4 linked regions of the Caenorhabditis elegans genome follow. The protein of the gene in region 3 interacts with the protein of the main gene of each other region in a pairwise test. Each region holds a gene or a part of one and is shown on either strand. Other genes may lie near its edges.

Region 1 (8,860 bases), on a different chromosome or scaffold from region 3:
TTTGATCTCCCACTGTGCGTTCCTCTCCTTTCCCCCTCATTTACTTAATGAACTGTTCTCTTTCTCTTTCATTTCCGTTCGTGTTTTTTTGTGTCTACGCCTTTTCATTAGAACTTTTTTAAATTCAGTTTTTTTCAGCCGCAGATACTACAAAAATGGCGGCGATCATACGAACACTATTCAAGAGCAAAAAATCGAAAAAGGGAGATGAGGAGAATAACGAGGATTTGGTTAGTTTTTCTAAACTTATTTTTTGGTTTATATTGGTGATTGATAATTAATATCTCAAAACTAGAAAGTGCATTGAAAATAGACTGTCCTTTTACGGATTGACCTACAACAAACGCGGAAATTTTCCTCCAATCAGTTGAGAAGTCGCGTCTAAATTTCCGTGATTCTTGTAGATCAAGCCAACATGGTGCACTCTGACATCACGTGAAATTTGAAATTTTCAAATTCAAATTGTTAATTTCCAGGCTCGCGAAGTCTCCAATCGCCGTTCATTCCGTGCACCGAGCACCTCATCCTCCAAATCACAAAGACGAGCTGTTGCTCGCTTCGCCGACGATGGAGCTCTTCCCGCCACTGCCGCCTATCACACAACATCAGCACCAAAACTTCGTAAAGGTCCTCAAAGCTGTCCGGGAGGTTATCGTGACGAGTCAGATGTGTCGTACGAGTCTGACAAGTATTCACAGAAGAGCAATTCACATCGGAGGCGTGACGTGCTTCATCAGTCGATGCGACAAAACTACACGATAGACGAAGGACGGAAACCGAGTAGCAGACGTCATCATAGCAGCAAAAGTGATTTCCGTCGACGTGGTGAATCTTCAGAATACGGAAGTGGTGATCCATCACCGGTTGGACAATACAGCAGTCGTCATTCACATTACGAGGACAGAATTGAAGAATCAGAAAATGATGATTTCAGTGAAAAGGCTCAGTTTGCAGTCATCGAGCGTGCTCAACAACATTACATGCAAAAGTACAAAGAGTCTGAACAAAAGCGACGGGAAGAAAAGAGAAAGTTGAAGGATATGGAGAAAGAGTGCAATGATGCCAAAAACGCCATGTTCCACTATATGAATCAGTTGGATAAAGTGAAGAAGGAGCGGGATTGCTATAGAAAAGAGCTCAGTCGGTGCAAGAAGCAGCTCGAGGCTTTCCAGAATTCCGGATATGATGTAAGTTCATATTATTATTTCAGAGAACCCTCAAATAAATATAATTTTTCAGGCATTCCACCATCTCCGTCAACCACAAATATCAAATCCTCAGCAATATCCACCTCCATTGAGCATGGGCTCCTACCCTTATATGAGCCAATCCATGAATGCTTCTCACCACATGTCATCTAACTTCATGAATAGTGCTCCACCATCAAGCAACACACCGATGACAATGACAAGTGGAGCCGGAGAGTCATTGATAAATCCGTCTGATGTCAGCTTCCTTCAAAATTCATTCCTTCAACCAACTTCTCAAGGTCTTACGGGAATGACTCCACCACCTGGAGGATTCAAGGGTGCGTCCGAAACTTTTTATTCAAACGATACTTCTTCTTCTAACATTAATTTCAATCAATAATCTAATATCTAATCATGTTCATTGCCATATAAATTCGCTTTAAATTTTCAATTATATTTGTTGCTTCACGGTGTGTGGCAAATTTTGAAATTTTGCCGAACTCGGCAAATTTGGCAATTTTGCCATGCTCGTCATACTCGGTAAATCGCAATATTTTTTGAAGCTCAAAAACTGGTTTCGCTCAATTTTTGCCCAATGCGCGTGTGGATTTCTTGAATAAAAAAAAATGAAAGAAACACAATGTTATTTTTTTTCATTAAGTTTCTGATCGAAACCATTAGTTTTCAGCAAACGGCAAATTCGGCAAATTTGCCGCACCTCTGGTGTCCCATTTCCGTATGATCTACAGTAAATACAGAACTTTTTGCCCAGAAAAAATTGGTCTCAGTACGATTTGAACAATTCAAAATCTGTTGAGAAGTCTGCGTATAAATTCTCGCAGTTCTTGTAGATAAAACCAACATGAAGCTTTAAAAGACTATATCATGATTTCAAATAATTTCAGTGCCCACAAACTACGGAGATGATGATCGAGATGAAGTGAAAGACTATCGTTCCGAACTTTTAATCGAAACTTCAAGAAGTACTAAAGAAGTCGACAGCATTTCTCCGTCAAGCTCTGCTGACAGCCAAGTGACTCTACTTGATCATTCCACAATAGATAAGGAGAATCGGAAGCCACCGTCTCGTCCATTCTCTATGATGTCGATTTAATTGCTTTATTTTCCATTTTCCAGATTGTCAGCTATTTTTTCTACTTTCTCTTTTTGTATTCAATTTTCTCAAGAGTTATGTCGGTTTTTTTTCATTTCTACCTTATAACCATCTCTTCTTTAATAAACCCGAAACAGGATCTTGTCTTTCCGCACAAATCCAAATATTATCAGTTGTGTTTGTATGTGTGTGCGGCTCTCATCACCACCACCGGTCGAAACATTTGGAGATGCTCTGGCTCCGCGCGTTCCACTCTCTGCGGCTCTTGATTCGTCTGATCTATTGCGTCGGCGCCATCAGCACTTCACGCATCTTCACCTCTCGTATTGGGAAAGAGTCCGAGAGCCATTCTCTATCCCTTCCTCTACTACTCGATTTTTCCTATTCCTGCATCACTTTATGGCACATCGATCGGCACCGTTTATCAGTAACAGTTAATTTTAATATTTTTTTGGTTCCGATTTGATAAAACTAATATTTATAATTAATAATAACATATTTTCAAAAAAAAAAAGTAGGAACGTCCATTTTCCGGGGTATTGCAAAAAATGATGCTGTAGTTTTCAAGTTTTAGCAACCGATGGGAAAAGTACTTTTCTGCTAGGAACTGTAAAATAAAGTGAAATGTTTTTTTTTAATTTGAGAAGATTTTCATCGATGTTTCACAATTTGTCACCCGATTCTTCAAAAAATTTTGTCGAAAAAAAATTTGAACATATTTATATGTATTTTTTTTAATACATAAAATTTTGAAGAAACAGGAGAAAAATCTTTGAAAATTTTGCAAAAGCGAGGAGTTGATTACTACAGTACTCTTTAAAGGCGCACGCTGTTTTTTTTTAAAGAAAAATTTTAAGAAAATATGTCGCTTCGAGTCCTGTACAGACCGTAATTTTGGAGCAATAATTGCAAAATTTGTAATCTGATTAATAGGATAGGCTCCAAATGACATGCCAATTTTATTTTAAATTCGACGGTTTTATTTCTTTCAAAAATTGATTCCGCGGCTACTGGGGAAAAATAACAGTATTTTCGTAATTCGGAAAATGTGGAGAAGCTAATTCGAAACCTAAAAATGAGAATTGAAACTTTATTTTCCGATAAACGCTTTATTCAAACAATTTTCCAATGGACATTAGATGTAAAAATCATGGTAATATCTTCCCAATTAATATTTCAGAATTTCCCCCAGCTCAATCATCTGCTCCAAATCCTTCTCGAATGTTCTGCGTCTCGTACGCCTCAACTCAACAGTCGGCAAATACACCGACGATCCATGAACAACAGGTTGAGATATACATTCCTCCATCTCTTTTCATTTTCAATTCATTTTGTTCAGGAGGAAATCTACTCTTCTCTGAAAAAAGTGCGAACTACTGATGATCTAACTTCAAGTCAATTGTCTATTGATAAACATGTCACTATGATTCCGTTGGGGTAGGTTCAAGATTATTATAAATTGTGGTATTTTTTATTAAAAAGTAATGTAGTAGCATCGGTTGAAATCTGAAAGTATTAACATTGAAAATCGACAGAAAAATATTTTATAGTATTCACGATTAGCTTGAAATTGAAAAAATTATTGAAATTTTTTCAAAACCATACCTAATAGGCACGATAGTAGGCATTTTTGAGCCTACCTGTATTCTTACAAACTAATAGAATTGCTGATTATCTAAAATAGCATTAAAAATGTATTAAATTTAAATTTTCAGAAGCCCACACGAACTTCACCGAGAAATAACTGCAAGCGGGACATTGATCAGAGTTTCCTCGGGGTTACCACAGAAAATGGATATGGGTGCCAATGAAAAAATGAAGGAGTTAGTGCCAAAGGTTGGTGAAATTTCAGTTCTCGATTTTGCAAAAAAAAAAATTTAGAAAATGTTAAGTCTGTGAAGCTGAAGCTTTGAAGATGTTATTTTCGTAAAAATTAATTTTGATTTCAATTTCAGATGCGACCAGAAGCTACTCTCCAATCCTTCCAACCTGTACGCCAAGAAGCACCGCAGAAAAAAGTTGAAATTCAAGAACCAAAGAAAGGTAATAACTTAGAATATTGATTTTTCTCCTTCCCAATATGCTCCACACTTGAACAATTTAGTATGTACAAGTACATAAAACGCAATAAAAAACCAAGAAAAGGGAGAAGCTTGTTTGGGAGGGCTCCGCCATTATATTGGCTATTATACGCGATCACACCCTATTTTTCTTGTATTTTTTTGGAAATTTCCAGATTTTCAAATTCTCAGTTCCAAACTTTTTACTTCTGTTTCAAATCATTTTTGCTTTTAGGCATTGTTCTCCAATTTTCAATAAAACTACCATATTTCCTCTAATAATATTGCTGTCATCTTTGACAGCTTTTATTTTAATTAAGTTTGAATTTAAATATAAGTTTTGAATTATAAAACTATAGAAGATAAATAAAGAAGAAATAAATAAAAAAAAGAAATACTTTTCCAGTTGGTAAGTTTTTGATAAAATAAATGGGAACTGAGATATGTGCTATCAAAGATTTGAGCAGTATTTTTCAAAAACCCCAAATTTTGGTTTACAAAAGGAAAAATAAAGTAAACTCAACCCCTTGTTTTATTAGAGATTAAAAGTTGAAAGTTTAACAAACAGAGCATTTTTTCTATCTCCATCTATTCAATACTCCCACTGTTTTATTCTTTTCCTGCCTCCTCCTCCACCTACCGACCGGTAATCAGGTTCGCGCGACCAACAGAAAAAAGAAGAAGCATCATGTTGACTCAATGAGCAGAAAATACAAACACGCACTAAGAAACTTGCTCTATCGCTGCCGTCCTTTTCCCCCTATTTTTCCCGGTTTTGCCGGATTTTTTTTTAATGTTCTGTCTGAATAAATGAAGTTGGAACTTCACACATTTAGTCATTTGGATGAGATTTGAGCAGACGAGAGAGGGAAGAACCTAATAAGAGCAAACAGAGATTTTGACATATTTGGATTTCTGTGAAAATATGATAGGAAGCTACGATTTCGTATCATTTCAATCCTTGAGATGTTACAAAAATTAGAACTTCTATGATCGGCAGAAAGCCTAAAAAGCTTTGGTTTTTTATTTTTATTTTTTATTCCAAAAAATTAAATTGATCTTAAGTACTTCAAACATCTTTTGTATTTTGCAAAATTCTCAAGTTCGGTCTCTTTACGGTTTTTGAAAAATTCCGAAACCTGATTTTTTTGGTTTTCTACTAGTCTTCGAATACTAGATTTTCAAATGCTTTCAAATTTACATTAAATCATAAATCATATCCTTTGAAATTTATTCGTGCCTACCTGAAGCCTGCCTTTCATCTGAAACTAATTTTTTTCAGAATTCGAGAGTTGGTCGGGTCGAGCGATGGAGGGACGAGTATCTGGTGGTCAAGTTCGTGGCACAAACAACATGCGTGGGTACTGGGAACGAAACATTCAAATTGAGCAACGACAAAGAGCAGAAGATGAGAGACGCCAGAGACCGAAGAGTTATGGTTTTCCGAAATGGAGATCTACAGATGCGTTGTCTGCGTCATTGGTTGCTTCGAATAGCATTCAGGTAAGGGGTTTTGGTGAGATGGTTAATAAAAGGGAAATATCTCTTGTGGAATAAGTGCCAGAATGTTTTCAAAATGTGATAGAAAGTTGCCAAACTTTGAGAGAACATTTTCAAAAGTTGGCAGAAAGTCACCAAAGTTTGACAGACGTGGAGTTTATTAGAACAGATACATTTTTTAGTTTTTGAAACTTGCCCGCTAGCAACTTCCCAATTTTTTTGAAAAAAAAATCTATGAACATATTTCCAGATTCCGGTAGACAGTCGAATCCCTGTAGAACGTTTGCGCAAAATGGAGGAAACCGAGCGAGAAGCCATCGAAGTGAAGAAAGAGATTCACGAAGAAGCTGAAATGACAGCGGGAGTTAGTAATACAAGAAAACTATCCAAAGGAAAAAGCCTAGACTCTCTAAGTATGCAAGTTGATTATCAACCATGGTATGACACGGAAAAGATCAAGTCGGCAGTATCTCGAGAATCCATTGCCAATATCGCAACGTCACGTGAATTCTTCGAAACAGCTTCTACGAGAGATTGGAGATCAGGTGCGAATAGTCGCCGAGATTCGATGTGCTCTCTGAGCATTGCTCCACCACTCCCACCAAAATCTGATGCGATGCAATTGAGACAGGCTACGGTGAATCATGCATCAAGGCCACCTACCAACTATCATCAAAACGGTGGATACGGTCAGCAGTACGAACCGAATTTGTCATCAGTTCCGATTTCAAGTGGTGCACAGAATATTAATATGCTCACTATTTCCAGTGGATATGATGATGGAAGACAAATGGTTCAGAAGCAGCAACAACCACAGACATCAATTAATAGGCTTGTTCAGCAAGGTGAGCGGTTTTTTGAAATTAAAGGGAACATTTTCTGATTGTTAGAAATCACATGTTTCTCCAAAAAAAAGTGAAATTTTTATTCCTCCAAAAAATATCCGAAATAAATAATTAAGTATATATGACTTTAAAAATTGCACATTGAAAGAATCAAGATGTGAATTCGCGGTTACGGTAGTTGAAAAGTTGAATTTGTGTCAGGGGTGGGCGGCAAACGATTTCTTCCGGCAATTCGGCAAATTACCGAAATCGCAAATTTCCGGAAAATTGTGGTTTTGCACCTTTTTTCTGAAAATTTTAGAATTTCAATATCAATCGGCAAAATTGTACGCATCCTATGAATGTTCCTACATTTATTTCGAAAAGTAAGCAAATTCTATGAAAATATCTAGAGAAAACGGGAAAAAATTTCAAAAAGGCACAGTTTTAAAAGTTTTTCCGTCTTATAAAAAATCCCTCTTAAAATTTCCGGCAAATCAGCAAACCGGCAATTTTCCGAATTGCCGAATTTATCGACAAAAATTTGCCGACCACCACTGATTCGTGTTAAGACCTAATTTGTTCCGAAAAATTCATACTTGAGTTGCAGGTGTTTCTGCAATTTTTTTTGCTGCAAGTTTCCATTCCAATTTTTATAAATAAACTCCGCCCATATCTTGGCTTCTTACAATCTTTACAAGAAAATCCTGGAAAAGCTCAAGCTAGCTTTTAAGTTCATTTTCATAAAGTTTCATATCAAATCAAATCTAATAAATTTCAATTTTCTAGAATTTTAACTCAATATTTATTATTCGGTAATTGGCTGAGTATCAACTCTATGCACTCCTCTGTGATACGGAGTGTTACAAATTGAACAAGATATCACGTTTTCTTTCAAAAAACTTTTATTTTCAGACTCTCCTCAAACGGCTGACCCAATTGAGCAACAAGAGGTTCTCCTAATGCTTTATCTGAAACAGAATTTGGATATTGTTCGAGGTCTCGGAATCCACATCCCACATGATCTTCTCGCAGAAATGGACGATCTTCAGATATTGCCAGTCGAGTTGAGAATTTGTGATGAGGAACCACAAAGAGTAAGATTTTTGAAAACTACTTTCCTTAGTTTTCTGTTTTCCAGGGTCAAATGTTTAGCCCAGTCAACAAAAATGGAAGATATCAGCGAAAACCTCAACCGAATATGGCTCCAAATCGGCAGGTGATGGGACAAATGATGGGACAGAAGTATGGAAGTCGAAAGGATATTCCAATTTCAACACGAAGCCGCCAGAATAGTGAAATGAGTAATTCAAATGTGGATCTATCCTATCATCATCATCAGCCACATTCACATATGACTACAAATTCCTCCTACGGATATCATTAATTCAACTTCAACTTTCTACATATTTATAGAAATTTTTAATATTTTTGGGAATAAAATAAAACTTTTTTGCGTTGAAGCAATAGACTATGACAAGACTAGACAATAAGTGAAAATTAAAAAGGAAGAAATTAGCAGAATCCGTTGAGTCCCGTGATGGCTCTTCCAAGGATCAGAGCATGTACATCGTGTGTTCCTTCATAAGTGTTAACTGTCTCCAAATTCACCATATGTCTCATAATATGGTACTCATCCACAATTCCATTTCCACCTAGCATATCTCTCGCCTTTCGTGACACCTCGAGAGCTTCTCCACACGAGTTTCTTTTGATAATCGAGATCTGCTCTGATTGAACTTTTCCCTCATCTTTCAGGCGGGACACACGAAGGCATCCTTGAAGACCCAAAGAGATTTCAGTTAACATTACTTTAGTTAACATTAGTTAGATTTGGAAATTTTCATATGCTGAAATGGAAATGCAAAATCGTTGATACAAACAAACTCACTATCAAGATTGTCGTGCACATTATTGGGAGGATCTATTTCATCTGCATACAGTCTCTTCAAAGGTTCCAAGTTTTTAAGCACGAGTTTTTTGACAGTTTGATTAGAAAATAATTTAAAATCATCCTTTTCCACGAATTCCATATCAATTATTATCGCTGATATGTTCAAAATATTTGTAACTTTTTTATATAAATCTGGATTCATCTTGTATATATTGTCAAGTACATACGATGATACTGAGTTACTCAATGATTTGTCGAATTCAAAGCACACATTATTT
Region 2 (5,626 bases), on a different chromosome or scaffold from region 3:
AAGGACATCAAGGAAAGCCTGGAAGAGCCGGACCACGAGGACCACCGGGAGCCAAGGGACAAACCTACCTTCCAGGATCAGCAGGACATCCAGGAAACAGTGGACGTCGTGGACCACCTGGACCACCGGGAGCCAATGGAAAGAACGGAAAGCAGGGAGCCGATGGAATTCCAGGCGCCGGAGGAGCACCAGGACAACACGGAGTTCCTGGAGTCGATGGATCCGATGGAGCACCGGGAGAGGATGCCGCGCCAGGTGGAGACGCTGCCTACTGTCCATGCCCAACGAGATCGGTGGCTGTCGAGGCAGCGCCATCGCAGGCAGAGCAGATCTACAAGACTCATTAGAGAGCTTTTTAATAAAGAATGTCGCATTTCAAATGGTTTTTGTGGTTTTTTTAGTTTCTGGGGTTGCGAAATGACTTCAGCTTGTATGGTTTCAGATTTTTCATATCAGATTATCAGCACTGAACGAGGTCTCAGCACAGGGAGTCTCGCCACAATGGGTCTTACCACGAAGGGTCTCACTGCAATGGGTCTCACCACGGAGGGTCTGGCCTCGATGGGTCCCGCTACGATAGGTCTCGCCACGATAGATCGCACTGCGGGGATCTCACCACGGGGGGTCTCACCACGACAAAGGATCTCGCAACGATGGATCTCTGAAATTTTGAGAAAATGTGCATTTGAAGCACATTTTTGAGACCATTTTATACAGTTATGAAAAAGTAATGAATTTATTTTTTTTTAATTTCAAATTTCAAATTGATGTATCACATAAAATCGTATAAAATCTATGTACAATTACGAATTCATAATTCACAAAAAAAACGACAACCCGAAAACCCGTACAATAAAAACAATACACACAAAATCATTGTTACACAATCACAGTTTTCAAAGCATCATTCGGATTGACCTCGATCGTGGCGACGGCGCCACGTGGGAACGGGATCTTTGTGGATCCGTCAAGGACCAGGTATCCGTTGGTGCATCGGGATTCGAGTTTGATCTTTCTGGCGAATCCGCGGGTCGCCGTGCGTTTGTAGGTGGCGTTGAAGATCGGCTCACGGATTGAGAAGGCGAAACCTGGAAAGTTAAAAGTGAAAGTGAGATAATGAGAAATTCTCAAATTTGAGTTTTCTGAAGCCTGACGATGAGGCCAGCCATGGGGTCCTTTTCTCAGTCCTTTTCCATGTCTGTGCAGGGTCTTATATTTGGAATTGTGTAATCAAAAATACCCCTGACATTTTGTTTCCAACTCAACAAACCCAAATTCCAATCAACTTTCAAAAAACTCACTAGGATGATCTGGCTCGAACGGGATCTTCTCATTCACCGAATTCACCACCTTCTCCACCAAATTCCTTGTGATCGGCACATCCACGCCAAGTGATTGCAGTGCCTCCAACACTGACGTCGTCGCATTCTCATCGATCCTGTTCATTCCGAGGTACCAACTCGTCGATCCGGTCCCAGTCGACACAATCAACCCGGAGGACTTTTGCTTGACTGTCTGCGAATCGTCGATGGAAATATTGTAGGTTGAGACTTTGGCGGCTTCATCCTCTCCGATGAACACCTCGTTCAGGGCGAGGTTTGTTGATTTTTCAGACCTCTTCAATGAGAAAATCGAGTTCCGGGATTCCTTTACTGTTACCCGTATCCTCGTCCTCTGCACCCACTTCAAGTTTCCAGAGACCAGACGCTCGATCAAATCGCGAGGTGGATTCTTGCCACCGACACACAGGTGTCCTTCACTTCCGATCGGGTCAGTGTTGATACCGATGATTGGGGTGTTGTCGTTGACCACGGAAGCTGCAGCCAAGAAGGTTCCATCACCACCGGCAGAGATCACCAGATCAGCTTCAGGCAGGTACTGGGCTAGCTGCTCGCGAGTCACAACTTTTGTGGAGATGCCTGCTTTGCCAAGTTCGGAGACAATTTCCTGCACTGCGTTTACTTGTTTCTTCTCGTTTTCGAGGAGCTCTTGAACCTTGGTGCCTTTTGAGGAGAGGTGCCTGAAAAGATTTAGTAGCTGGGAATATAGCCTGATAGACATTTTTACATTCAAATGAGGTCAGTAGACTTTTGTCAATTGCAGACACCATGGGAAAAATACACAGTTTCGGTTTTTAGCCTAAATATAATTTTCCAAATTTCTGTATGATAGGATATAGGTGAAGCAAAACATGGTGCATCGACCGGACACCTTATACATATTTTATATAGTGTTAATGTTATTAAAATTAAATTCAGGAAACAACCTATTGAATATGAACTTTAAGACATGGTGCATCGACCGAAAATTATCTTCTTTGGTAGCTCATATCTCTGTCTGTTTTAGCGTTATCAAAAAGTTGCTCACAGGCGAAATATGAAATATATGTTTTTCTACTATTTTGTAATAACAATTGTTTGAGTACCTAAAAGATGAACAAAGCTACAAGCTTTAGAAGTGGCTTGAGACATGGTGCATCGACCGGAACCAGCTTTGATAGCTTATATCTCATTTGGCTTTGGGTTTATCGAAAAGTTGCTTTCTGACAAAATATTTAAATATTTGATTTTCTACAGTTTTGTAGTTAAAAATTTTTTACTTTTTACTACCTATAAAATGAACAAAGATATGGACTCTGAATGTGGAGGAAGACATGGACATACATTATTGCAGTTTCAATTTTTTAGTATCTAAAAGATGAACAAAGTTACAAGCTTTAGAAATGGCGTGAGACATGGTGCAATGACTAGAACCAGCTTCCACAGTTTTTATCTCGTTGTATTTGGTTTTAAAAGAAAACTGTCAACTAATAAAATTATTTTTAGCTATGTGCCTATAGTATCTTAAAAATGAACAAAGATATGAGCTTTCAAAGTGGAGATGCAAAACGTGATGCATCGACGAGCAGCTTTGGTTGTAAAACTCACTTTTTCAGATCAGCATCGCTCAAGCCCGTCTGCTCCTTCTCCCATTGCCATCGTGTGCTCTTTCGAAGGATCAACGCAAACCGGATCGCCTAAAAATTTGCTCCAAAACAAGGCTTAAAATCGAAATTTGGCTCACCGGCTGCTGTCTGCTTCCGCTCGGTTTTCCTTGTGTTACCGGAGAAACTGGGCGCGCCACGTGGCTCACGCAGTGAGAAATTGCCAAAGCGGCCATGATGGACGGCTGGAATTATAAATTATTAGAAATTGGAAATGGATATTTAATGGAATCAAAAAAGAGAGAGAGAAAAGGTTAAAATATGATAGAAAAGCTTATCAGTTAGTTTTTTTTTCAGCCGCCTCATCACACACGAAAAGTCATTCGAGAATTCGCCAAAAAATCAACACAAATGGCACCATTATTTTCAAATTTCCAAAATTTCAAAATTTCAAAAATTTTTCCCGATTTATAAATAAACGGGGCTCCGCCTTCCGAACGTCTGGGCGCCGCCCACCGTTCCGGTAGGCTACAACAATAGAAATTGTGTGGGAGGTGGTGGTTTGTTCCCCTCGTGCTCAGATGTGCTCGCAATGTTTGATTTTTGAGGAGAAATTGAAAGTTGAGAATTGAGAATTGACACAAAGTAAATAAATGGTGTTGAAATGATACTTGACGCCATGATGGAATTTTTTGGAAAAAATGGTGTTTTGATCGGCTGGAGTATAAGGAGTATAAGTTTAAGCTGTGATATCTCTACGAGTAGAGGAGTTATCAAAAATATGCCAACTAATAAAATATAGAACTTTAAAAGTTGCGTATTTTCGTAGTTGGCAACTTTTTAATGGAGTTCACCTCCGCGGAGTTACAGACGCCTGGAGGTTCAGTGGTGAAGGGTGAGCAGTAGTGTCGAAGACTAGAAATCGTTGTAATTTGTTGGAAAGTGGATTTATCAAAAAACTGTTAAACTAGCAATTTATTTATCACATAAAACTGTACATTTTTGTAATTTGCAACTTTTTCATAACAGTAACCTCCGTTTAGTTACAGGCGCCTAAAGTTTGGTGGTGAAGCGGCAAGGGAGCCGATGAAGAGAGCTACTGAAATTTCTGCCCTTGTATCTCCTCGGAGAATAAATTTATCCTAAAATTGTTAACTAACAAATTATTTACCACATAAAACTGAACATTTTTGTAATTGTGAACTTTTTCATAAAACTACCCTCCGCTGAGTTACAGGAGCATAAAGGTTTAGTGGTGAGAAGTAGGGTGCCAATGGCTGAAGCTAGCACCCTCCGTATCTTGTCGAATAGTTGATTTGTCGCAAAATTGTTCATTAAAAGATTATTTACCACATAAAACTGAACATTTTTGTAATTTTCATCTTTTTCATAGCATTAACCTCCGCTGAGTTATAGCCGCCTTAAAAAAACACTACATGCTCAAGTTAACAACTGTTGAATAACTTTTACTTCGAAGGAGTTAAAAGGAGTTAAAAGTAAAAATACGTTATGAGAATTTGATTTTAAAAGGCTGCGGGATTCAGCTTGTGCTAAAACCTCTATACCTCGTCGAAAAGTAAATTTATCACAAAATTGTTAAATTACAAAATATTCATCTCATAAAACTATAAATGCAACCGAACGCATTTTTTGATACCACTCACTTCCACTGAGTAACGGGCGCCAAACCGTTCAATAAACAGTGCAAATGCTTTCTAACAGTCTGCGCCTCCACTGATTCCATTATATTTTTTTCTTCGGCAATTAAAAAAAAAGAAAAATGACCGTTTTCTATGCTGGGAGAACCAAAGAGAATTCGTTGAAAATCAATTTTCAAAACAAAAACAGCGGCGATGATTTCGAAACATACGATGTGACCAATGACCAAAAACTATAGAGCACGGGAGACCACAAAATTTTGTGTCCGACTAGAGAAATGGGTGAGAATGGGGGAAATTCGGAGTTTTTTATTAAGAAAATAGTAAAAATTCGAGTTTTAAATCTAGTAACTCATGAAGAAGTCTTATCAAAAAGGCTGCACAAATTACGCGATTGCTCTCCGCTCTTCTTGAGAACCAAAGAACCAAAGAACGCGTGAATGATTCAAAAGGGGGTATTTAAAGGCACATGCACACCGCCGAGACACAAAGAGACACAGTGTGAGTGTGCGCGTAGCCATGATGACAAATGGCTAGATTGCGACCTGACCCTTCTAAATTTTGTGCCCTGGGCTTCAGCAGGGCTTTATGGAAGTGATCATTGTGATATTGTAATACATTGTGACCACACAAAACTGAACAGCTTTGAGGGCTTATATCTTTGCTACTTTAAAATACAACAAGAAAAGTTTAACTGCAATGTTACAGAAAAAGATTTGAAAAATATTTTAGTAGTTGACAAAATTATGATAACCCCCTAGACAACTGAGATATCGATGCACCATGCTTTGCAAATCAACCACAGGAGCCTATATCTCTGCTATTTTCGAAGATATTGAAAAACTTCTAACTAGAAAAATGCTTGATATTTGGTTAGTTGACAAAATTTTGATCAGACCACAGGCAAGCGAAATTAATGCTAAGCGAGGTTTTTCTGGTCGATGCACCATGACTTGCAGCAAAGTTAATTTTGAAAATATTTAAAATTCAACTATTTACATATAGAAGTTTTTGAAATTCTTTCAAGCCATCTAAAAATACATTT
Region 3 (5,217 bases):
CGTATAGTATCTGCGCCTTACGGACAATTACCAACTGCACCATCAAATGGTGGAATTCCCCCTCAACAACAACATCAACAACAGCAGCATCATGGAAATGGAATGAACGGAAATATGCAACAAGGCGCTCCACAAGTTATAAACAGGCATCCTGTTAGCCAACAAATGCATCATCAGCATCCACAGCATATGCAGCAACATCACGATCATCATCCACATCAGCAGCATTATCAGGTTTGTAACGCAATGAAAACATTTTTAATAAATGTAATTTTTTCAGCAAGGTGGCCAACCTCATCCACAGATGCAAATGGGACCACCACAAAACGGAATGTTCCAACAAGGATCTTCTTCATCTCAACAATATCATCAGGCACCACCTCAACAAATGATTCAACAACAACATCAACAACCTGGTCCACCTCCACAACAGCAACAACCACAAATGCAACCTATCGTGGTTACAGATGTTGGACGAACTGTAGTTCGAGCAGTTGTACCTGCATTTGTTGCACCACCGAATCAAATTCATTCGAGAAGAGTTCTACATTCGGAAGCATATCTCAAGTGAGTTTTTTGAAATTTAATTGTTTTTCAAGTATTGATTTTTCATTTACAGGTATATCGAATCACTTGCCCAGAATCGACAGAAGTCGGTAAGCCGATGGGAACGAACTCTAGGAGCAACTGCCAGGAATACCCAACCAGCTGGAAATGCCCGCGCTCCATCTCATTGGATAAGGGTTAGTTCGACTATTTCTTCTTGTAAAATATATTTCATAATTTCAGAGAATTGAAAACGGACGACCTGTAGCTCGCGAAGAGGATGTTACAAAAGCTTTGTGGAAACTTCGCGATGAATTGTTGAAGAGTACGTGTAGTCTTGTAATGGACCGACCAACTCAATGAAATCAGTGGATCTCTTGTTAAAATTTTATGCAATTTTTATAACTTTATCATAATTATCCTACCCTATCTCGCCTCCCCGTTCAATCCAGAAAACAAGAATCTCTTTTTCTTTTAATGTATTTTCTGATAACCAGTTATGTGTGCTCCTTCTGTTTTTATCCTCTCATGATTCCCACGAATACCTTAAATCCTATTTATTTTCAATAATTTATTCGTTTCTTGATTGTATTTCTTACTACCCACTTCAGTCACTAAATTTATTATCATTTCCAATTCACCTTTTTTTAAAATATTTTTATTAATGGGTCGGGTATGAAACAAATTCAAACGATAAATCAAACATCAAAGATCTGTCGCCAAAATTACAACTTTATTCGGGATAAATCCCTGCTTCTCGTCAGCGATTCGGACGGCCCACAACCAATCATCTACTGGTCTTCCAGTGCATTTTATCCATTCACCTGGTCGGACTGTTAGATCAAGAGGTGATCTTCCAGAAAAAGGTTCGACTACGAGAAGATTTTCATTTTCCCTAAAAATTAAATAAATTTGCCAAGCCAAAATATAATCAGTTTATTTCGCAATCTTTTGAAACGCAAGCACGAGAAAAACATTTATGGCAGTAGTTTTTTATCTTGCAACGGCCCTTTTGCTTTTTTCGGGAATTTCGTGAACAATTTTAAAGTCGATTCTTTTGATTTTTTATTACCCATACGCGAAACTTTGCAATTTTTGCGCCAAAAATATGGTACTCAATCTCGACACGACAATATTTTTTATCAAATGTAAACGGATGTGCGCCTTTAAAGGGTACTGTAGCTTCAAACTTTCGTTGTTGAGGAATTTGCATAGATTTTTCATAATTCTCCGTTAAAAAATGTATTTATTTATTTTAAAAAACCACAAAACACATATATTTTATTTTACTAATCGTGAGAAAAACTATGAGCACGAAAAGTTGTATTTACATTACAGTAGTCTTTAAAGGCGCACACGTTTTCACACTTAACAAAATTGTTATCGTGTCGAGACCGGGTACTGTATTTTTGGCGCAAAAATAACAAATTTTCGCGTCTTCTGAGTCTTTTAATTCTGAAAAAAAAAACAGAATAACACCCATGACCCATCTGAATAAGTCCGTACACCTTTAAGCGTTTCAGAAAACTGCGAACTTACGATACCATTTTTCTTTAATGACACGGCTAGCTTGTTGCAATATTTCATGTGGAATCTTAACATGGGAAGAAGGTACAAAACCAGATTGATTGTCCGAATTTCGAATATAGGTCCACTCAGGATCTGATATATTCAAAACTGTGACAGATTCTCCATCTTTCACAGATATATCATCTGGAGCTGATCCATCAAATGACTGTAGTATTTGAACTTCGCATATCTCATCCTGCAGATAGTATCAAAAGAATATTCAATAGCTTTATTCAAAACAAACCATTTTAAAAACCTCTCCTTCTTCTTTTTGAACAGGAAGACTGTCGATAAATCTCTGCAAATTTGATTTTTCCCAACGGCGATCAAGTGTCGCGCTGGATCCGATCACCTTTTTCTGAAAAGTATTTGATTTGATTTCTCAACGGTTCCATTCCCGAAATTCTTGGAGATCAAACCGAAATGGGACTCTCTGACATCACGTGGCTTCTAAGTTGTTCTCACTAAAGGTGACAATGATTTTCACCACTTTTCTTCGATTTTTCAATGACAAAACTATGAAATATCTATGAAATATTGGAAATAATTAGGAGTGTGGTTACAGTAATTCGCAAGGCGCACATTCTTTTGCGCATATTTCGGTCGTGTCGAGACCGGATACAGTAGTTTTAAATGAATATCATTAAATGCCACAATTACACGTGTTGTTGCATTCTTTAAGATTTGCACTAAAAATAACTTTTCTAGAACATCTAAAACGCTCACCTTTTCACCGTGTTTTGAATTCAAAAGCAATTTACAATATGTCTGTGGAACAAATCCTTTTCTTCCATCAGATACCTCAACATAAATCCATTGATCATCTCGATAAATTGCTTTAACTGTAGTGCCACGGGTTACACTAATTTCGTCAGCAACCTTAAAAGTGAGAGGTTAGAAATTGGGGTAATTTGGAAAAACTGAAAACTATACAGTTGCTGTGAAGTTTTTTGTTAGTTGTCCTGGAGTATAAGGATCAAAATGATCCACTTGCATACTGTCAACCCATCCACCATTATCGGGCACTGAAATTCATTTTTGGAGGTTTTATTTTTAATCAGCTAAAATTAGAAAAAAAATGGGACAAACTGTGCTCACCTCTTCCAGATACAACTTTCCAAAAAATGCTCCTAATGCCCATTGTTTTTGTGCGACGAAAAGCCAATGAATTGCTCACAAAACACGGTTAATCAACAGAGGCATGTCAAATTATTGTTTGTTCACCGAAAATTGGATCTGATTGGAAAAAAAGATGGAGTCTCGGGAGGGAAAGGCATGAAAGGCGGACAGTATTATTTGGCTTCAGTATAATGGCTTATTTTGCCCTAGAAATAAGGAATCTGTGATATTTTATGTATTTTGGAGATTACCATGCAGAGATGCATAAACTTTTGTATCTTGTTTGGAAGTTTTCAATTAAAAACCAATAAATTTTAATACCAGTTACGTGGCAACCGCTTACTAAATACAAATTCGGAGGCGAAGAATACAATTTTAATAAAAAATAATTTATTTCCAAATAAACTAGAAAAATGACTATTGAGTTTATCAATTGTGCAGGATGTAAAGCCAAAATCGCCGAGGAGGATGTCGAAAAGGTAAATCCACAATTGGTGTATTTCCTTTAAAAAAGTAATTTTTAGAACAAAGTTGTCTTCTTTCTGAATCGAATGTGGCATCGGGATCATATTCAATGCATTTTTTGTAAAGTTAGTTTTGGAAGCGTTCGGAAAAAAGCACTTCCAAAATTTCAAAATATCCAATTTTAGCTTCAAATCTCGGACAATCGTTATTTCCGTTCATCAATTGATCCAATGAAACCATCATGTTATGCATGTCATATTCAAACAAATCATCCATCTTGCACAGGTATTTTTAGTTCTTCGAAGTACTGATTAGTAGAAATTAAAAATTGAATGATATGGCTTGTGAATTCGGTTTTGCACGGGTTATACGAACTTTGATTACTCAGCTACATATAGGAAAGATTAGAGCCCCTTACGATTACTTAAAAAACAAATTTTACAGGATGCTCATTGCCAGTAATTGAACGAGGACTTGTTGCATTTAATCGTCTCTTTCATATTGATTGTTTCCGTTGTGCAATCTGTAACAAGACAATTCCTCAAAGAAAAGGATTTTATGAACGTGATATGATGTTTTATGATGACGTTTGTTATATGCTTCATATCAAAGATGTTCTATAACATATTGAACTTATTTGAAAAAATAATGAATAGATTTTGAACGGTTTAAAGTGTATTTTTGTGGGTTAACTATAATTTCTAAGATACTGATTTTTGAGAGATTTCAAGACAAATAGGGAGTAAAGTAGTCCCTTTCGGAACAATTTTTCTGTGATTTCTCTTGTTCACTGACAAAAACTGAACAATTTCAGTGTTTCATCTAATTAAAACATTTTTTTATCAGAAACATTGGACTTTTTTAAAATTTATAACACGATTTTTGAAATTTTACACATTTTGAAAAATGCAATTTCTGAATCCAGAGTTTTGTCAATTTTTCAATCAATTTATAGAACTTGCAAAAGTGAAACAATAATTATAATATTTGAAACATCACAATCATAATGAGCATCCTTCTGTTCTTTCATCATTTAACCTCCTCCATTCAAGTAGTAAAGTGTGCATCTAGTAACTTCACACCACAAAATGTTTCTGTGGGAGAAGAGCTACGGGATGGATGAGATGTGTCACCTGTGTCAGATCAAAATGACGTCATATAGATCTTAGTTTTCTTTTTCGAGTAACTACGTACTCGAAAATGTTTTGTGACTTTTTAAACATGTCAGTGTCAATCTTTTAATAATTTTTTTTTGTTTTTTGTTTCTGTCTGATTTTTTTTTGTGTAATAGTCTTGAAATCTTTTTGAAATCTAAAAGTCTTCTCAAGTCTCAATTCACTATTTCAATATTTGTCATTTTTACGTTTTTACAGAGAAACTAAACATTTAACTTTTGTTTCAGATGAAGTTTTGGCATATTTCCAATTTTCCTTGCAAAATTTTTTTTAAATATTGAACACTGTTGAGTGAGGAAATGTTAAACTACACAACATTGAAATTTTTAAACACAATTAACTA
Region 4 (4,625 bases), on a different chromosome or scaffold from region 3:
TATTTCTTTTTGGCGAGAGACCAGGTCTCAGATACAAAATAAACAGTTTTTCAAGACATTGATCCTTCAGGTATATAAATTTTGCTTTGCGCCCGACACCTCATGGGTTTCCACAGAAAACCCGCAAGGTGTCGGCCGCTTAAGTCCGATTACTAAAATTGTTACAATGTAGATCACAATGCCGACGATCATATTATTCATTCCAATAACTGTCATAATTTTCCTTCCTTTATTCAACTTAGATGTGAGCTTGCCGTCTGGAGTAATGCTGTGCAGCTTTACTTTGTATCCAGCCACGGATTCACTTATTGTGATGTATGTCGTTTCGGAGTATCGAATGACTGCAAAAAGTAAGCAAATTCCCAAAACTTTCAGTTGCAGCCGACATCTGGCGGTCTTCATTTTTCCATAGTGTTCCGTAGCGCTTGACTTCTAGCGGATTCAGCATATGTTCACATCGAGAACCCGGTAGATGTCGGGTGCTTGCAACAACCCGTGCAAGAAAAACCTCACAAACTTCCAGGAATTCGAATGATTCTGTTCAGAAGTTTCAAAGAGATTAAACAGTCAAGAGTTGGCACAATCGCGTCAGTAGGAGCAACAAGTTTCACACCAATGCCGCCATGAAAATCAATAACATTCTCATTTCCTCACTATTCTATCTATTTCCTCCATTAAATTTGAAAAAACAAACACTCAGAATATGTGATAAACGATGAAGAGAGTAGTCCGTCACCGGTTTTTCTACCGCCATATGTCCCCTCCTTATTCTCTCCTTTCTCTCTACCCCTTTCGTGTCATTGCACTAGATGACAAAGGAAAATGTGACTGCTTGGCGCAATGGTAGCGCGTTCGACTCCAGATCGAAAGGTTGGGCGTTCGATCCGCTCAGTGGTCAAAGTTTTTTTTTTTTTTCTAAATTTGAGTAAAAACTTAAAGTTATCAATATTATTTATTAAAAAAGTATAAAGAAGTATTGTCTTGTATATACACATAACTGGTGTCACAATTATACATTGGATGACTACATTCTCTTGCAACATTGTCCATTTCCACACGGAGAATAGTTTTGCTGGCAAGAGCAGGAGTTGACTGATTGAGTGAGGCATGGCATCTGGACTAGTTGAGCAGTAGAGCACGATTGATAGCATGATTGGGTGCATGCTGGAGCACATTGCTGCATTGGTTGTTGTTGTTGAATGCATTGTTGTTGGCATGATTGTTGGCATTGTGGAACACATTGAGCAGATTGAGAAACTGAAGGTTCTAGGATGACAGTCACAATTTGTGGAGCAACAACTGGAGATTGGCATGCTGATTGGCATTGCTGACATTGTGGAGCAGCTGGTTGCTGACATTGTGGAATACATTGTTGTTGGCACTGTTGAGTCTGTTGGCACGAAGTTTGACATTGTTGGCAAGCTGGTGCAGATGGAAGTGTGCATTGTGGAGCACACTGTTGCTGGCAAACTGGAGCATACTGCTGGCAAGTATTCTGGCACTGCTGGCACTGTGGAGCTGATGGCTGTTGGCATTGAGGAGCACACTGTTGTACGCATTGTGGAGCTGCTTGCTGACAGGTTGTCTGGCATGGTTGAGTACATTCCTGATAGCACTGTTGAACTGGAACTTGTTGTAGAAGACATTGTTGTTGACACTGTTGTTGGCATTGTGGAGCACATTGAGCAGAGATTCCCAAGTTGACATTGATGACTTGTGGAGCAACAGTTGGAGCACATTGTTGAACACATTGCTGCTGACATTGTGGTTGACATTGTTGAATTGGTTGAGCTTGAACACATTGTTGAGTGCACTTTTGTTGGCATTGTGGAACACACTGGACTGTGACTGGAGCTGGAGCAACACAGGATTGTTCACAGGCTGGCATGCAAGATGGTTGACATTGGACTGGAGCTGGAGCAGCTATTTGAGTATAACAGGAAGACGTCTGACAAGTCTGCTGGCATGAAGATTGACACTCATTCATAGATGGAGCAAATTGACATTGGTTCTGGCAAGACTGCTGACAAGCTGGAGCACATTGAGAAGTTTGCACTTGGTAAGTTACTTGCTGAACTGGTTGGGCACATGAGCAGGATGTCTGGACTGGAGCAGTGTTCTGACACGAACAACTGTACTGTTGTGGTTGAGTTGCTTGTTGGCATGAACAACTTGGTTGAACTTGTGAAGCACAACCACATGATTGACGTTTATCACGAATTGAAGATGCCTAGAAATAATATAATGTTTCAAGGTGTACATATAAATTGTTAACTAATTCTACAGATAATTCAGAAAGTAAGTGAAGCAACAGTAATACAAATCGTACCTCAACAATAAGAAGGCTAGAAACAAGAAGAACTGCTGCAATTGTAATAAAACGCATTGTCAATATGATTGAAGAGCTGCTAAGAGACAATTGATGCCCTTGTTTTAATTTTTCCGACTTTTATACCAACGTCCTACAACCCTGTTTCATTAGCCATCAAACAGTTCCGTCCCACTTATCAAACTCCATCCATCAACCGGCTTCATGCTCAGCGCAAACATAACAATGATAACATGGCAAATGAACCAAAAAACACGCTCGTCGCCTCCCAGTCTTACACACACTATTTCTTGAGGGCACGGCAAGTTGCAAAGATCAAAAAGAGGTTGGGTGCGCGTTTGCACTGATACAGTGTTTTTTTTTTGGATTGCGCCGAGTTTCCGCTTAACTATGTGTACCAAAAAATTTCGTTTACATTTTCAGAAAAGTAATGAAAGGGTTACCTGTTGAACTTTAGAGTTCGGATTTCGACAAAACGATTTTAAATTGTTTATTGCCTTTTGACGCCACTCATTATTAGAAACACCTTTTTGTTTGCTCTCACAATAGCCATTCGAAATTACAAGACTTGAACTCTTGGACTATTTTTTCCGGCACTATTTTTTTACATTGCTATAATCGTACGCAAGCAGTGTTTGAGGGGGTATATAAAGCCTTGATATCTGTGGAAATCATCAAGCCCTGCTTCTTCAACCATTATCATGCGTTTCATCGTATTTGTAGCTCTCTTTGCTTCCAGCTGTCTGCTTATCGAGGTTTGATAAAGTTTCATTGTACTTTCACTTTTAGAATGGCACGACATTTCTAAACTTTTTCAGTTAGTATTTCGGTTTATTAATAATTAAAAATATTATATTAACTACAACAATTTTCCATCACTTGATGAAAAATTCATCATGTACAGTTTTTTCAAAATGTTCTTGATAATACGGTCTAGTTTTCTAAGTGCCCACATCTTACAAATATTTGTTGGACGTAATCGATGTTAGCAACAAAATGCTTGTTTTCCAAGTTCACAGAAGTTTTTTCCAGGCAACATCAATTCGTGATAAACGTCAATCATGTGGTTGTGCTTCACAAGTTCAACCAAGTTGTTCATGCCAACAAGCAACTCAACCACAACAGTACAGTTGTTCGTGTCAGAACACTGCTCCAGTCCAGACATCCTGCTCATGTGCCCAACCAGTTCAGCAAGTAACTTACCAAGTGCAAACTTCTCAATGTGCTCCAGCTTGTCAGCAGTCTTGCCAGAACCAATGTCAATTTGCTCCATCTATGAATGAGTGTCAATCTTCATGCCAGCAGACTTGTCAGACGTCTTCCTGTTATACTCAAATAGCTGCTCCAGCTCCAGTCCAATGTCAACCATCTTGCATGCCAGCCTGTGAACAATCCTGTGTTGCTCCAGCTCCAGTCACAGTCCAGTGTGTTCCACAATGCCAACAAAAGTGCACTCAACAATGTGTTCAAGCTCAACCAATTCAACAATGTCAACCACAATGTCAGCAGCAATGTGTTCAACAATGTGCTCCAACTGTTGCTCCACAAGTCATCAATGTCAACTTGGGAATCTCTGCTCAATGTGCTCCACAATGCCAACAACAGTGTCAACAACAATGTCTTCTACAACAAGTTCCAGTTCAACAGTGCTATCAGGAATGTACTCAACCATGCCAGACAACCTGTCAGCAAGCAGCTCCACAATGCGTACAACAGTGTGCTCCTCAATGCCAACAGCCATCAGCTCCACAGTGCCAGCAGTGCCAGAATACTTGCCAGCAGTATGCTCCAGTTTGCCAGCAACAGTGTGCTCCACAATGCACACTTCCATCTGCACCAGCTTGCCAACAATGTCAAACTTCGTGCCAACAGACTCAACAGTGCCAACAACAATGTATTCCACAATGTCAGCAACCAGCTGCTCCACAATGTCAGCAATGCCAATCAGCATGCCAATCTCCAGTTGTTGCTCCACAAATTGTGACTGTCATCCTAGAACCTTCAGTGTCTCAATCTGCTCAATGTGTTCCACAATGCCAACAATCATGCCAACAACAATGCATTCAACAACAACAACCAATGCAGCAATGTGCTCCAGCATGCACCCAATCATGCTATCAATCGTGCTCTACTGCTCAACTAGTCCAGATGCCATGCCTCACTCAATCAGTCAACTCCTGCTCTTGCCAGCAAAACTATTCTCCGTGTGGAAATGGACAATGTTGCAAGAGAATGTAGTCATCCAATGTATAATTGTGACACTAGTTATGTGTATATACAATACAATACTTATTTA

The links.
Region 1: the proteins of C26C6.8 (region 3) and F54D5.15 interact in a two-hybrid assay, tested with the Caenorhabditis elegans proteins (one large-scale study listed by BioGRID).
Region 2: the proteins of C26C6.8 (region 3) and nadk-1 interact in a two-hybrid assay, tested with the Caenorhabditis elegans proteins (one large-scale study listed by BioGRID).
Region 4: the proteins of C26C6.8 (region 3) and pqn-90 interact in a two-hybrid assay, tested with the Caenorhabditis elegans proteins (one large-scale study listed by BioGRID).

Annotation. Positions count from the first base shown.
Region 1 is NC_003280.10:11,557,997-11,566,856, reverse strand, and holds F54D5.15 (ZM domain-containing protein), read left to right. Parts: upstream 1-2,629; 5' UTR 2,630-2,703; coding exon 2,704-2,737; intron 2,738-3,484; coding exon 3,485-3,591; intron 3,592-3,643; coding exon 3,644-3,741; intron 3,742-4,019; coding exon 4,020-4,140; intron 4,141-4,259; coding exon 4,260-4,347; intron 4,348-5,646; coding exon 5,647-5,867; intron 5,868-6,114; coding exon 6,115-6,709; intron 6,710-7,603; coding exon 7,604-7,785; intron 7,786-7,829; coding exon 7,830-8,075; 3' UTR 8,076-8,142; downstream 8,143-8,860. Other genes in the region: F54D5.5 (uncharacterized protein), read left to right, coding at 1-14, 139-230, 477-1,187, 1,240-1,528, 2,096-2,304; F54D5.24 (FTH domain-containing protein), read right to left, coding at 8,512-8,860.
Region 2 is NC_003282.8:1,454,617-1,460,242, reverse strand, and holds nadk-1 (NAD(+) kinase), read right to left. Parts: upstream 3,169-5,626; 5' UTR 3,160-3,168; coding exon 3,064-3,159; intron 3,017-3,063; coding exon 2,928-3,016; intron 2,021-2,927; coding exon 1,302-2,020; intron 1,089-1,301; coding exon 880-1,088; 3' UTR 722-879; downstream 1-721. Other genes in the region: col-106 (Nematode cuticle collagen N-terminal domain-containing protein), read left to right, coding at 1-347.
Region 3 is NC_003279.8:7,502,325-7,507,541, forward strand, and holds C26C6.8 (SH3 domain-containing protein), read right to left. Parts: upstream 3,319-5,217; 5' UTR 3,257-3,318; coding exon 3,214-3,256; intron 3,141-3,213; coding exon 3,049-3,140; intron 2,995-3,048; coding exon 2,842-2,994; intron 2,474-2,841; coding exon 2,360-2,473; intron 2,312-2,359; coding exon 2,091-2,311; intron 1,442-2,090; coding exon 1,252-1,441; 3' UTR 1,199-1,251; downstream 1-1,198. Other genes in the region: pbrm-1 (Bromo domain-containing protein), read left to right, coding at 1-234, 281-567, 620-743, 790-909; C26C6.6 (LIM zinc-binding domain-containing protein), read left to right, coding at 3,648-3,713, 3,759-3,824, 3,885-3,984, 4,144-4,322.
Region 4 is NC_003282.8:15,288,877-15,293,501, forward strand, and holds pqn-90 (Prion-like-(Q/N-rich)-domain-bearing protein), read right to left. Parts: upstream 2,387-4,625; coding exon 2,330-2,386; intron 2,313-2,329; exon of another isoform or gene 2,291-2,312; intron 2,261-2,290; exon of another isoform or gene 2,231-2,260; coding exon 1,025-2,230; downstream 1-1,024. Other genes in the region: pqn-91 (Prion-like-(Q/N-rich)-domain-bearing protein), read left to right, coding at 3,031-3,084, 3,362-4,567.